Linked DNA regions of Drosophila melanogaster. The protein of the gene in region 1 purifies or fractionates together with the protein of each later gene. This does not show direct contact. Each region holds a gene or a part of one and is shown on either strand. Other genes may lie near its edges. The genes, in order: NT1 and Toll-6.

Region 1 (9,229 bases):
CTTTGCACTACACACTACAAAATAAATAAATAAATAAACATAGTTGGTTAAACATTAGAGTGGGTTTTGGGATAAATGGGGTTGAGATTAGGAGCCAGGTAGACAAACTACAAGATTAGGCTCCTGGCGAGAACGGCAGAGACTACGAGCTAAGGCATCGGCGTTAATACGTTAGATTTCGGGGATTTGAGGACTTTGATTTTGATGGACTCATGCGACTTAAGCTACTCCACAACCATGGGCAGCCAGGCGTTATCGCTAGCGAAACCAGCACCACCACCCACAGCACCTGCACCACCCACGCCACCGTTATGTGCCCGGTAACCCATACGCCTCTCGTGCGTTTTGGGCACCGGAATGGGATGTTGGTAAACTCCAGTGATTGTCTCCATGCCCAAGCCCATGCCATTCTGTTGAGATTTGGGGGAATTCTGCGGGAATATACGCTGCTCCACTATGCGGGACTCTTCTGCGATGGAACTGACTGTAGCCGCCGCCTCCGCCTTGCGATTCTTCTCGAAGAAATCGATAATGGGGTGGTAGTTATAGTTAATCCTCTTGCCCGACATCTCGCTGCCACCACCGCTGGGGAAGATCGAGCTCACTGGATAGACTGCCGGCGGTTGTGGTAGTGACGTCGACTGATCCCGCTCCCACTGAGTGGTGCGCTCGGTCGAAAGGGACGACGCTGACCCGGTAACCACTGCTGTGTTGGTCGTCGTGGTGGCTGGTGGTGCATAGAAGCGGGGTCGCGATTTGCTGCCACCTTGCCGGTTGACTGGTGAAGATGGTGGTGAGGCTGTTGGTGGTGCGCCTGGTGGTGCGATGGCACCTGCTTGATGGGCATGGGCGGCATGGGCAGAGGAGGCGCTGGAGAGGCCAGCACTGGCGCTGAAACCGGAGACAAAGCCGGATCCCGGACTAAGGGCAGCTGTTCCCGTTCGGGCTGGTAGACTTGTGGTCTGTGGAAATCGTAGGCGGACGGCAGCTCCTCCTGCGGGCGATGGTACTGAAGATGATGATGCTGATGATGTTGCGGTGGTGGGGGCTGTGTGGGTGGAGGCATAAATACGCTTGCGATTCAGCGGGATACGCGGCTTCTCTGCACCGCCGTTTGGTGGGCCAGCGAATAGGTTTACCTCTTGGTCCGAATGCGTCTCGCTTGGCGCCAAATCCAAGTCCAGACGCGCCTCTGAATGCTGCGGCCGCCGGCGGCTCACCTGGCTGTAATACTTCTTGGAACTGGAACTGGAGCTCTTGTATCCGCCATAGCGATCTTCGTCATCATCAGGGGGACTGAGATATGGACCCACACTGCTGCTAATACCAGGCAGCTTTACGCGCACCTTGTTACTGCTGGAATACAGTTCATTTGTCTCCCGATTGTTGAAAGAGGGATATCGAAGACCCAGTTCGTCCTCCTCGCTCTCTTCGGCATAGTCCAGATCCTCCTCGTTTATGGTACTATACCCATTATGACTATGATTTATGACAGGAGACTGGGGAGAGTAATCTTTGGCTTGTATGGAGGAGAGCGGTGGAAACTGCTGGCGATAACCATCCACTTGGCAGGAGCAACAGGTGGGCACCTTAAAAATATCCACATGGAGACCACGCACTTTGTCCCAACTTAATAGACGATGATAGTTGTACACCTGCGAGCAGTGGGAACGGTAAGTCTGCGCCAAGTAGGAACAACTCTCGACGGGATTACTGTTTATAAATGCAAAGATTGCAAGTTAATACCATGTTATTCAAGTGAAAAATTATTTTCACCCACCTGCATTTTTCCAATCTTAAGGTTTGCGTGTGCTGACCAGTGTTCACTATGTACTTCCATTCTCCTGAAGCTGACTTGGCCTTCTGGGGTCGGGCATAACGTACCACGCTCTGGCACATCCCACCTGCGCTGCCTTCGTCTTCACGCCTTTAATGTGAAAAAAAAAATGAAATATTTTACCAAAATTCACCGTCGAGCATTTGGCTTTTTAATTGGTCTTTTCAAAACTAATATAAAAGTATATTCCTACACATTGTTTTTTTTCATTGGTTTACGAAATATAATGCCAATATAACTGATAAAAGTGTAATAAAATTTGTGTGACCTAATATATTATTTTATTATCATAACTTTGTGAAGAAAATGACTTTATGTGGCTTATGCTCATATGATTCAACGACAATTTCAATATACAATTTCGAAATGATCACGTTTCCTAAAACTTTTATAGTCAAAACTTATGTTATGACATTTATTGTCAGTTATTTGCTATCTTTGATGATCTTTTTCACTTACCTCTTTTTGCTCAGGCTGAAGTCATCGAAGTCATCACTAAACTCCAGATTGTTATTGGGCTTGTCGTAGAACTCGGCCAATAGAGCGGACATGGCGTTTTTGTGACGCCTAATGCTGCCCATGATCTGTTCACTAAGATTTCAAAATAATATATGCAGTTTCCAACGGTAGACTTCATTCAACAACTCTAACCAAAACCAATAACTAAGCATAAGTGCAAGGGAAAGTTGGGCAAGTGTGATTCATAAATTAAAGTTTTATTATGGCTAAAATTCGGACTAAACTAGAGCTAAGGACTATGGACCGGAACCAGGACCCTGGGAGTACCGCTCACCAACTAGCTACGGGAATCTTACAGCGGATAGTCGTCGGTTCGGATGCACATGTTGCTGGTGAATCGTTCGCATTTCTTGTTGGGTGGTGTAACCACGGGTTTATGGGAACTGGCGGCGGTCTTCGGTCTTCCCCTTAAGGAGGATGTGACTCTCTTTCGTTTGATGGGAGATCCAGATTTTTGACCAGGCAGTGGTCTTTTCCCCAGTCGGTAACGTGGTCCAGCGATGAGTTCCTCTGGACTTGGTAGTGGTTCCTCAGTCTCCTCGGCGCTGTTTCTTTGCAGATCTAATCGCTCATCAGCGCTCAGGGGGATTTCCGTGCCATTAAGACCAGCAAAAGCCAGATCCTCCACCTCAGAGTATGACTGGCCACCATTGGAGGAGGCCATCTTCTCCTCCTCCTGGCTACTTGGCTGTTGAAAAGCTGTGGTATTCAGCTTGATGGTACGTCCAGCAATGCCACCCAAAAGTTGCTGCTCGGTCACAGAAGCAGGCACGGATCGGGTCAATTTGTGAACAAACTCGTTTGCCGATCGTCGAACTCTTTGACCATGATTTTCTGGTTTAAAAGTCTTGGTTTTGTTATCATGAAGATCACCTGTCAGGGCCTCATTGATCATCTGAGGATCAAGCACTTCTGACCCCATCTCATCAAAGAAGTCCTCTAGAGACTCCAATTGCACCTCCTCAGTAGAGACCTTTTTTGGCTCAACTTCCACAGCAATGGTGCCCAATTGGTCATCCTGTTGGGACTCTTCTGGAGTCAAATCATCTTCACGACGATTGATGGGAGTATGGTAAAGGGCAGATGAAGCCAGATCAGAACCCAGATTGATGTACTTGCGGGTAGAGCTCTTTATGAGATTTGCGATGTCGAACACTATGGGCAAAAGCAGCTTTTTTTCATTGCCAAACATCATGCGAACCTGATTAAATTAGAAAAATCATTAGCCAGTTTTTTTTTTTAATGCAATGTAATGTAAAATAATATTTTTTTAAAAACGTTCTCAAACACACCTGTTCAAACTTTAGTTCGTGCCCCTTTTTTGCATTCATCTGAGCCGAGATCAAAGCGGAAAGAGCCAGGCGCTGTTGAGAAGATAGCATTCTTAAAATGGGCAAAACTTCGGCGAACTTCTGGCGCAATCCCTCATCCGCCAAGGCTTTGGCCAGAGCGTTTCTTAAAACCCTTTCTCGCCAATCGAAAGGTGGTAATTGTTTCTCCGGCTCCGGTTCATCCAGATCTACGCTAAAGTCCAGCATATTCGACTCCAACTTCTTTTCGGCCTGCTCCGCCTTTTTTGCCTCCTCCAGATCATCCAGCTGCCAGTCCTCCATAGCAGCATCATTTGAATCCGCAAAATCAAAGTCCATCAGCTCATCGTCGGCGGAGTTCCCACTGACCAGATCCAGATAGAGCACACAATAGAGCAGAGCCCAGAAAAGGCAGCCGAAGGCGCGGCCAGCTTTCATTTTCACTCTGGCTTTATTTTCTTGGCTTTGTTTTTAATTGCAGTCGTCTGCGAATGACAAAAGGCAAAGGAAAGTTAAAGCGAGGGGGCGGTCACTGCTGGTTATTAAGTTGGATTTAATTTTCCGAAATATCAGATGAATGTCGTCTTATTAATTGTTTATTTATGACTATAGTGCACCTCAGACGACACTCGCACGCTTTCAAAAAAAAAAACAGTTTATGGCTTATTCTTAGACGGGTTCAATTTGTCTTGGCAAATTCAAAACCATTCATATTTTTGGCTTTCCATCGAAAGCAAGAGTCATTAACATGAGCGTAAACTATTACGACCGTGCAGCAAGAGTCATAACAGTCATCTTGGCCAGGCTATTACAGCAGCACAGTCGTCTCCGGCTTTAGGTAATCGCACTCAGCCATCGGCGTCGTCATCATGATCTTCACTGTCATCTCAGTTGACTGCCCAACAAGGCGTGAAGCACCGAAGCTGCTCTGGTTGTTGCTATTTTTACCATTTTAATGTGTATTTTCGCGCACGGGGTTATGACTCCTGACTAAACTGGCCGTTTTGCGGTAATATGGCATCCCATCCAAAGGTCGGGTGATTGATTTGACTGCGCTTTAGCTTCCTATCATCATGATGAAGACATTTGTCAGGCTAAAAGAGCTCTTCCCTCTTCCCTATGAACTTGGTTTTCTCTTCTTGTCTATGCAAATGTGTTCAGCACAAAGGAAAGTCTTTCTTTCATTTTGTTCGTTATTTATATAGTCGACTACCCCAAGGAGCCGACAAATCTGAATGCTAACAACACCCAAGCCAGGAAAACTCCTCCGAGGCAATGGCTATACCAGCTGCATCGATGTTATGACCTTTTGTGCAGATGAAAAGTGAAAATTTGGCTGCAGCAGCGGCAAACAGTTGACAGTTTAGAAAAGGCAGCCAAGGCCAGCATGAAAACTTATGGCGGACGTGGGCTAGAGAAGATTGTCCAACGATTCACGTCTCTTCGGGCACCCAAGGCAAGGCAAATAATTGAATGAAATGATGCGCACAGTTTGCGATGCACGAACGTGAGGATGCTGCCGTTGTCAAGATGCAGGCAGGCTCGATGTCTTTAATTTATCTCGCACACCTGCGCGCAGAAGACCCCGCTAATGGATCCTACGAAAGGGGAAGAGAGATGGCGGCGCTTCTGGTTTTTGTGTGGCCTTTGCATTTACGTATAGATACTTTTTTGACGCTGGGAAAGCGGCATAGTACGATAAATCAAATTAAGCCAATAAGTCGCAGCCGTTTCCCATATATGCCAACCATTATTTCGGTTCCCAGGCATCCCAGTAATTTCGCGTGGGTGCCATTTGCAAGAAAGCAAATACAAATTACAGACGAAAATGGGAATGGCAATGGGTTGCATTTGAAGATGCTGCACTCCGCTTGCATGCGATCTCTCGGCAAATTCTTTGGCCACTTTAATTAACTTGTAATTTGCGTGCGTTGCGCAGACAACGAAACGGGGCCAGTCAAAAAATAAAAAAAAAGGCAAAAGAAAAACAAACGAGACGAATTGAAGAAAACAAATTAAAGCGCTGCAAATGAGAGGAGAAGCATCTGAAAGCGAAGCGCAAAGCAAGAAAGTCGCACTGACAATCTCCGCAGAATCCTACTAAGCAGACTAAGCAGCCTCAGAAGCAACTAGGTGCTAACCGACTAACCTAGTAAGCGAACCCGCTGAACCACTAACCACCAACAGCTGTCGAGCTGTATTGGACAGATCGGGGATCAATATCTTCATCGCATAGGTTTGGCCATCCGAACTGACATATAAATTCCCAACCAACTTACTGGGCCCTAAACGAAAGACTTAAGACACAAACTTGACGACCGCCGAAAAGCGGCAACTCATATCAATAAACGAACACACACGCACACGCTTAAACAGCGCGGACTGACACAATTTCCTCGGGCGTAAAGAATAAAACGAATTCAAATTTTTGTGCGTCGTTGTTGTTATTGTTGTTGGGTGTAAGCGCTTTTTTGTTTTCGTTCATTTAGAAAGTTGTTTCCATTTCACATATTTGGCTAAAATACACTCACAAATGAAATGCTATTTTAAAATTCCAATTTCGATTTTGTTTCTTGTTCTCCGCTTTGCGCTCTAGTTTTTTATGATTAATTTATAAAGCTAAAGCAGAGCTTCAGAAATCACCTCAGATCAGCTTGTCTTCAGTCCACTGTTCTTCTTTTTTTTTTTGTTCTCCAAGCCACTCCCTTCTCCAGTCTTCCGAGCTTCGATATATGTATTTAGCTTGATCACTGTTTATTTCCTGTTGCGGCGCAAGAACCGAGTTTCCATTCCACTCCACTTTGCATAGATAATTTTCACTTTTATAGGCTCATTGGCTACCGCCTTCGCTGATTTTCACACTTTTCACACGCGCCTTAATTAACAGAAATTTCTACTTTGCCACACTTCTTGAGTCTGTCCGCTTGGCATTCACCTTCGTTTTGCTTTTGAGACAGCTTTTTATTTTTTCCGCCTGCTACGTCTGAACGCTTTCAACACTCGCCGCAAACTGATTTGCTGCCTCAACTGCTGCTTACTGCTTCTTTACCTACCGCTTTTGCTGCTGCTGCGGTTGTTGTTGCTGCTGCTGCTGCGGCGACTTTGGCTCAGTTGGCGTTCTGGACCCATTGCAGTAAATCCAACTTAGGTGCGTGCTTGTGCATTAAAAAGTGCGCATCGGCAAATTGCATTTCTTGTGCAGTTCGCAAGTTCATTGAACCGTTAGTTGGTTTACATTTGCATATCCATGCATGTGAAATTAATTAACGTTTAGAGCGGAAGTTTGCCTATATTTAAAACTGTATGTAGCAGCCTCGTCTGCCCAGTTCGTGTCTTCAGTCATTTGTTTTGGCACTGGGTCAGGAAGCGATTTGTCCAAAACGGAAGCATGCTAAACGGCGTATCTAAACTGCTTTCTATCGGCATCATTAGCCACGAAAACCACTTTGACCACTTCATCAGGCGTTACGGCCGCCCGCGAGGGTCAGCCCCTAAAGTTAAGGAAAGAAAATTAATTTCCAGCCACGGCACTTTCGTTTTTCAAAACAACAGCCCTCGGTAGCAACTTTGGGCAGGTGGTTAGCGCCTCCGCCTGCTTTTCAGCCACCGAACAGTGGGACAAAATTTAGTCGTGCAAATTTTTATTTTATCTTTTAATGCATAGCAACACAAGTTGATATCCTTGTAAACTATTCAATATATATTATATATCATAGCCAAATACATGCCTAATTTTATTAAGATTAGCATTATTAAAATCTAAAATGAAAATTTAGGATTGAAATAATTTTTTTTATGTTCGTAAACTCTGATTAAATTGCTCCTATTTTTAGCTAATTACCTTATATCGTTTTGCACCCCACTGTGCAATGACTTTGACTTGCGTCTAATAACGACTTTTCGTGATTTTGACGTTTTGCTTTTTTGCGCTTTATTGTTATTTCTTCATCATTGGTTGAGTCCATAAACTATCGGCTTAACTGCTCCAGGGCAGTGGCAAGTGCATCCTCCCTCCGGCTTCTATGGCACTTTCAATGACCACTTAAAGAGCATTTTCTTCACACTTTCATTGGTAACCACAGCGGCAAAACGGTACCAGCTGAATTTTCATTTCATTTTCACGAGCACGCAATGTTTTTCAGCCTTTACGCATTTTATCTTAATGTCCATTTGTCGACATTACCGCATCGCTGGCCGTGTGTTTAATTGCAGCGTCATCAATCAAGCAACCATAGCCGAAAGTGTCCTCACTCACTCAACTTGGTTGCACTCGGTTATCCATGGTTTTTACTCGCATATCGTTGCAATTCGCTAGATTTTCCGCTACCGGCGTTCATCCCGGCTGGCCAACTTGCTGACCATAAAACATAGCGATGCACTTGGCTAATTTGCACATTAAATTTTTATTTTTATATTTATTTCTTTATTTTATGTTTGTTGTTATGTTTATTGTATGTTTGTGTTCCGGTCCGGTAGTGAAATATTACCTAGCACCGCAGTCTTGTCATTTCATCTGGCGATTGTTTAGCCTGCATCTTGTATAGTCCACTTGCTCTTGGAATATTTGTCGAGTGCATAAAAACATTGACATTGAAAATAATCAGGTTTGCCTTTTAAGTTCGCATTTCAGTTTAATATTCGAAAAACACGCCGTATAAGTTATAATTATGCATTCCTACGCCTCTTATTCTTGTCCGATGAAAACTCTTCGGCCAAAACAATTCCGGTTTTTAATTTAGTCATCTGTCTTCAACAACTTTTAAATTTGTAAAGTACCCGCAGGGGATTTACATAAAAATATGGTTCGACAAATATACGAATAATCATTAATTCAATGATTGTGGAAAAACGACTATTAAAACTTTAAATAAGTTTCAGATTAAGACTTTATTTCATAATGCAAATAATATCTCCAAAACTTAATTTGGTTCAAATATCTTCCAATAGATCTATATATATTTTTTAATACATTATAAAATTATCAAAATATTGATAAAAACCAAATTAAGTGCTTGTACTGTTTTAATATATATATTTTTCTTTTGAATTGCGCGCTCAGTTATTTTGAACCAGTTTTTTGGAACTAGTAAAGAGAAGCCAGACCTAACGAAAAAGCTGAAAGCTTAAATAAAAGTTAACATGATAACAGACAGGCATTAACAGAAATGCTTACCGTCTGTTTTCACCATGTTAGCTTAACATAATACATCATAATCAGTATTGCCACTACAATAAATTTCCATTTAAATTTATATAAAATAAAAAAAGCATTCAAATGGTGTAATATTCATAATTATATTTCGTCTTTAATTAATTTATTTGTACAATTCTATAGCTAGATTTCAATACAATTACATAGATCCTATGCGCTGCACGCCTAAATCAACGATTTATTTTCTTATTACTGACGACGGGGTTTCAAAGTTTCCTTTTGTGCAGTCAAATCTTGGCTACATCCAGGGGAAATAGCTCAACTCGAAGATGGGATTTTAGATACAGACTAGAAGAACTAAGTGACGAACTTTAAACTAAGCATAGGTAGCGCCATTCATTAATCGTAAGG
Region 2 (6,370 bases), about 11 Mb from region 1:
TTGGTGTTTTGATTTGAGCTTCCCATTTATCCATGGCAGACCTAATGATATTGAGTTGCTTCAACAGATTGAAAATTTTTTACAGTGCACCCGTAAAGCTGCTTGGGCGCCATAAAATATGCAACCTTTCTTTCTAGCTTTCCCCCTTGGCTTTGAGTGAAAGTAATCCGAAATGCTGTCATTAGGCCGAGTCCATAGCACAGAGCCACAATTAAGATTGACTTGAAAGCCGTCCAGGCGTCAGGCTAATACCACGACAAGGACATCTACTATAGCCGGCAAACCAATCCAATCTGCACACCGAGAGTTATGGCTTTGTCGAAAAGTGGACTCCGATTCAGCTCCGCTTTGCCCAGCCTCTGGCTTTATCTACTGGGTCATTTCTCATAATTTTCCACAGCTCGAGAATTATTGCAAAAGTTAATATTAATGACGTTGATGAAAATCTTGTCATTCGTGTTACCGAAAAAAAAAAAAAAACGAAGCGAAAGAAACCCACGTTATGGGGCACATAAATAAAGGAGCTGCGACCAGGACCACGGACAAAAGCCAGAAGCGTTCACCAAATTGATAACTACCGAAAAAAGAATACCAGGCCGGGGAAGAAATATTCCTTCTTGGTTGCATGTGCCACCACACAAAGGAAAGCGAGCCACAAAACCTCGTCCTTGCCGCCATTTACATTTGAAAGAGCCTGCGAAAGCCTGAAGGTGAGTAAAATAAGGGGTGCACTGAAGGAAAATCTTGTGAATAAAACAGTAATACATCCCTGTACAAGAGTAATTGGTAAAAGAAAAACATCATGTGCCTAAATAACTAATATTTTTAGCGAATATCTTACTGAGAAAATCTCTCAAATTAAGACTGAACTGCAATAGTTTTCTTCACTGTGCAGGAGGCTTATTAGACTTGGCTGCTGTTCGTGGCTCTGCTGCTGCTCCTGCTGGTGATATAATTTTAATAACTTACATAATATATTCTTTTGTGTGGCCAAGCCACATAATTGTTAGAAACATTAGGCAAATCATTACCCCAGCACGAAAAATGGGTGGGAGGCGTTCTGTTGGCTGACGCAATTTGGCAAAAATGTTTTTGTGTTTGCTTTTAGTGGCGACAAAAAGATCCTTAGCCACAACACCCATGGATATGGGAAAACTTTCAAGCCAGCTAAGAAATATTAGCCCAAGATAAAGTGTCCAGGGCAGCTGTTTTTCTTGGGAATTAGTCATGAAAGACCCGAAGTTTATCAAGGTTACCATGCCGTGGTAATCGCCATTGAATTTGTTGGCGGTGATCCATCAATATTTCTGCTTTCACCCAAATATTGAACAATCAAAATACATACATGCCGGAGGTTAACGAAATAAGGAACAATAGACAGTCTTCTTTGTAAATTAACCCTTGGAAAATTTCCTTGATAGATTGATTTCTTTTTCGAGATACCAGGACTACTTTAGGTAAGATTATAATACATTCATCAAAATCATAGGCGCGTGAAGCAAAAATTGTATATTTATTATTTGAAGTAGTAAAATGTTCCAAGTGTAATTAATCTCAAAGAAATATTAATTTAAGTCCAAAAGACAATAACATAATTCAAAATTTAAGTAACTACAAAAATCTGAATTTGCAGTGTGCGATTTAAGATATCCTATAAAAGGAGCTTTTTATAAAAACTCTGCTCACGAATTTTCATATTTGCTATTTCCAGCATCTCCCAATCGAGTCTAACCAAGTCCTTGCATAACTTTCCGGATTTGAGAACGAGGAATCCACAGAAATCCCCACACATCCAAAGCCCAACGAAACCCCATAATGCTGGCCCATAATCATTATCATTAACCTGATGGGGAAGACAGTTTTTTGCTGCTTTGCTGGGCGAAAAAGAAGTCATGAAACCACAGGAATTGTTACATGAGGCGCAAACAAAACAGTTTAATTAAAATTATTATTGTAATTTAATGGAATGTGAGGAATTATTATTTTTATACGGGTCTGGGCCCACGAAACAGGAGCAAAAAGCAGCCGAAGGACCTTCTCGGCACACCGACACACACATGCACATGGCATAAAAATAAATTACGTTTGTATGAAGATTGGCGCTGGCCCATGCACATCATATATTTTCATTATCAAAACAGAGACAGCAGAGAAGTCGCCGGTTGGCGGCGGGGGGTGCGGAGCTCTATCTCCGATTCGGCGGCAAAAAAATAAAGGATATACGAAATACGACGAAAAAAGACAGAGAAAATCAAAAGGAAAACACGAACGAACGCCAGCTGTTCGATGCGATTAGATGGAGAGAAAGAAAAACATTTTCCAGCATCCGTCGAGCCAGAGCGAATTTCCCTTTAGTCATACTCTCCGAAAACTCTCAGCATTTCCCGCCCGTGCAGAGCCTGTCGGCTGCTCTTCGTCTGTTTTCCAGCCCCCTTCGGCTCGCGTTCGGCTTTTCGGATTTTCGGGGTTTCGAGTTCGTGGACGACTCTCCATTTAAAAGAGAAGTTGCGCACGTTGCGGCAGTCAGTCGAAAATCAGCCAACGTGCGCGTTACATTACGAACCGGAAAATATCGACGCTGCTGCACCGCTCAAGTCCCAGAAAAAGTGGGTTCAGTTCAGCCAAATGAAAAAGTGATAATAGAAGTCGAGCCCGCAGCTAAATTGAAATTCATCAAAGGTTCCTATAACGCGACGTGTAATAAACAAAAACTTCGAAGCGAGTAATTCAAAGCGCCGAAACGAATAAAAAAGAAAAATTTAAATATAAAGAGGATAGAAAAGGCCAAGTGCTAGAAAATGTGCCGGGTGTAAGAGAGAAGAAAACACGGAGAGCATAATTAACTAAAGAATCGGGGGAAAATAAAGAAAATCTGGCTTGGAGTAGAGGGAGCACAGAAGCCGAAAATATGTGCGCAGACTTTTCTTTGGCCAGCCAGTGGAATTGATTTTCTTTTCGTTTCTCCCCAAGACCCCCGCTTGTACCGTCTTTCCCCCCTCCGCAAACCCATTTTCCGGTGCCTCCACGCAGCTAAACCGTGAATCGCCAAAATGATCTACTATATGCTACTCATACTGCCCGTGGTCCTGGCCCAGGATCAGCAGCACACCACGGAATCGCTGTCCACCAAGCACCACCAGCAGCAGCAGCTGTCGCACTCGAATGCGATAATGGGTGAGGCTGGGGTCTCCAACTCGCAGCTAATGCAGCCCTCGACTCCGGCGCGAACCCTGCGACCCTTGACCGCGGGCGCGGGTGGTGACCCTTCGCTGTATGACGCCCCCGACGACTGTCACTTCATGCCAGCAGCGGGTCTGGATCAGCCGGAAATAGCCTTAACGTGCAACCTGCGCACGGTGAACAGCGAGTTTGACACAACCAATTTCAGTGTTATACCCGCCGAGCACACGATTGCCCTGCACATACTGTGCAATGACGAAATCATGGCCAAGAGTCGCCTGGAGGCGCAATCTTTCGCCCATCTGGTTAGGCTCCAGCAGCTGTCCATCCAGTATTGCAAGCTGGGGCGACTGGGTCGCCAGGTTCTGGATGGTCTGGAGCAGCTGAGGAACCTGACGCTCCGGACGCACAACATCCTGTGGCCAGCGCTGAATTTCGAGATAGAAGCGGATGCCTTCTCGGTCACTCGGAGGTTGGAGAGACTGGACCTCAGTTCGAACAACATCTGGTCCCTGCCGGATAACATATTCTGCACCCTGTCCGAGTTGTCTGCCCTGAACATGAGCGAGAATCGCCTGCAGGACGTCAACGAGCTGGGCTTCAGGGATCGCAGCAAGGAGCCAACCAATGGTTCCACCGAATCCACCTCCACCACCGAATCGGCCAAAAAGAGCAGTAGCTCAAGCACCAGTTGTTCGCTGGACCTGGAGTACCTGGATGTGAGCCACAATGATTTCGTCGTGCTGCCAGCAAATGGATTTGGCACTCTGAGGAGGCTGCGAGTCCTTTCGGTCAACAACAATGGCATCTCCATGATTGCGGACAAGGCTCTCAGTGGACTGAAGAACCTGCAGATCCTGAACCTGAGCTCCAACAAAATCGTGGCCTTGCCCACAGAACTCTTCGCTGAGCAAGCCAAGATTATCCAAGAGGTGTACCTGCAGAATAATTCCATAAGTGTGCTGAATCCGCAGCTCTTCTCGAATCTGGACCAGCTGCAGGCCCTGGACCTGTCCATGAACCAGATAACCTCCACCTGGATCGATAAGAACACCTTTGTGGGTCTGATTCGTCTGGTTCTGCTTAATTTGTCGCACAACAAGTTGACCAAACTGGAGCCAGAGATCTTCAGCGACTTGTACACCCTGCAGATTCTTAATCTGCGTCACAATCAGCTGGAGAACATCGCAGCCGACACTTTTGCCCCGATGAATAATCTGCACACGCTGCTGCTGTCGCACAACAAACTGAAGTATCTGGATGCATATGCTCTGAACGGATTGTATGTACTGTCGCTGCTCTCGCTGGACAATAATGCGCTGATTGGCGTGCATCCGGATGCCTTCCGGAACTGCAGTGCCCTGCAGGACCTCAACTTGAATGGCAATCAGCTGAAGACAGTTCCGCTGGCCCTGAGGAATATGCGCCATTTGAGAACCGTGGATCTGGGCGAGAACATGATTACCGTTATGGAGGATAGTGCGTTTAAAGGTCTGGGAAATCTCTATGGTCTCCGCTTGATTGGCAACTACCTGGAGAATATTACGATGCACACCTTCAGGGATCTGCCTAATTTGCAAATCCTGAATCTCGCCAGAAACCGCATAGCAGTTGTGGAACCGGGGGCCTTTGAGATGACCTCGAGCATTCAAGCTGTGCGTTTGGATGGCAATGAGCTGAATGACATCAATGGCCTCTTCAGCAACATGCCCTCCCTTCTGTGGCTGAATATATCCGATAATCGTTTGGAATCCTTTGATTATGGACATGTGCCATCCACCCTGCAGTGGCTGGACCTCCATAAGAATCGGTTGAGTTCCTTATCAAATCGTTTTGGTTTGGATAGTGAGCTAAAACTACAAACTCTCGATGTGAGCTTTAATCAACTTCAGCGCATTGGACCCAGTTCCATACCAAACTCTATCGAACTGCTGTTCCTGAACGACAACCTGATAACCACCGTTGATCCAGATACCTTTATGCACAAAACCAATCTGACCCGGGTGGATCTCTATGCGAACCAAATCACAACGCTGGACATCAAGTCCTTGAGGATTCTGCCAGTTTGGGAACATCGAGCTCTGCCAGAGTTCTATATTGGTGGAAATCCCTTCACCTGCGATTGTAACATTGATTGGCTGCAGAAGATTAACCATATAACATCGAGGCAATATCCAAGGATTATGGATCTGGAGACCATATACTGCAAGTTGCTGAACAACAGGGAGAGGGCCTATATTCCCCTGATCGAAGCTGAACCCAAGCACTTTTTGTGCACCTACAAGACCCATTGCTTCGCCGTTTGCCATTGCTGTGAGTTCGATGCTTGTGATTGCGAGATGACCTGCCCCACGAATTGCACGTGCTTCCATGACCAAACCTGGTCCACAAATATTGTGGAGTGCTCGGGCGCAGCTTATTCTGAGATGCCGAGACGTGTGCCCATGGATACCTCTGAGTTGTATATCGATGGCAACAACTTTGTTGAATTGGCGGGACATTCGTTCCTTGGTCGCAAGAACTTGGCTGTTCTCTATGCGAACAACTCGAACGTGGCCCACATATACAACACCACTTTCAGTGGCCTTAAACGCCTGTTGATCCTGCACTTGGAGGATAATCATATAATCAGTCTGGAGGGCAACGAGTTCCACAATCTGGAGAACCTGAGGGAGCTATATCTGCAATCAAACAAAATAGCCAGCATCGCCAATGGGAGTTTCCAGATGCTGAGGAAACTGGAGGTCCTGCGATTGGATGGCAATCGATTGATGCACTTCGAGGTGTGGCAACTAAGTGCCAATCCCTACCTGGTGGAGATCAGCTTGGCCGACAACCAGTGGAGCTGTGAGTGTGGTTACCTGGCCAGGTTCAGAAACTACCTGGGTCAGAGCTCGGAGAAGATCATAGATGCCTCCAGGGTGAGCTGCATCTACAACAATGCTACGAGTGTTCTGAGGGAGAAGAACGGTACCAAGTGCACTTTGCGAGATGGTGTAGCCCACTATATGCACACCAACGAGATCGAGGGACTGCTGCCCCTGCTCCTGGTGGCCACCTGTGCCTTTGTGGCCTTTTTCGGTCTGATTTTCGGACTCTTCTGCTATCGCCATGAGCTGAAGATATGGGCCCACTCCACCAACTGTCTAATGAACTTCTGCTACAAGTCACCCCGATTCGTTGACCAGCT

Evidence for each region.
Region 2: the proteins of NT1 (region 1) and Toll-6 purify together in Drosophila melanogaster (affinity purification with western blotting, with the first as the bait; one study listed by BioGRID). This does not show direct contact.

Annotation. Positions count from the first base shown.
Region 1 is NT_037436.4:4,501,752-4,510,980, forward strand, and holds the start of NT1 (neurotrophin 1), read right to left. Parts: upstream 6,683-9,229; 5' UTR 6,310-6,682; exon of another isoform or gene 6,198-6,309; intron 4,152-6,197; 5' UTR 4,105-4,151; coding exon 3,649-4,104; intron 3,558-3,648; coding exon 2,653-3,557; coding exon of another isoform or gene 2,649-2,652; exon of another isoform or gene 2,534-2,648; intron 2,429-2,533; coding exon 2,297-2,428; intron 1,928-2,296; coding exon 1,781-1,927; intron 1,714-1,780; coding exon 225-1,713; 3' UTR 1-224. UniProt on the Drosophila melanogaster protein: Neurotrophin which may function as a ligand for the Toll-related receptors Toll-7 and Tollo. Binds to Toll-7 and probably acts as its ligand in promoting motor axon targeting and neuronal survival in the central nervous system (CNS).
Region 2 is NT_037436.4:15,334,175-15,340,544, forward strand, and holds the start of Toll-6 (Toll-6), read left to right. Parts: upstream 1-2,517; 5' UTR 2,518-3,050; coding exon 3,051-6,370.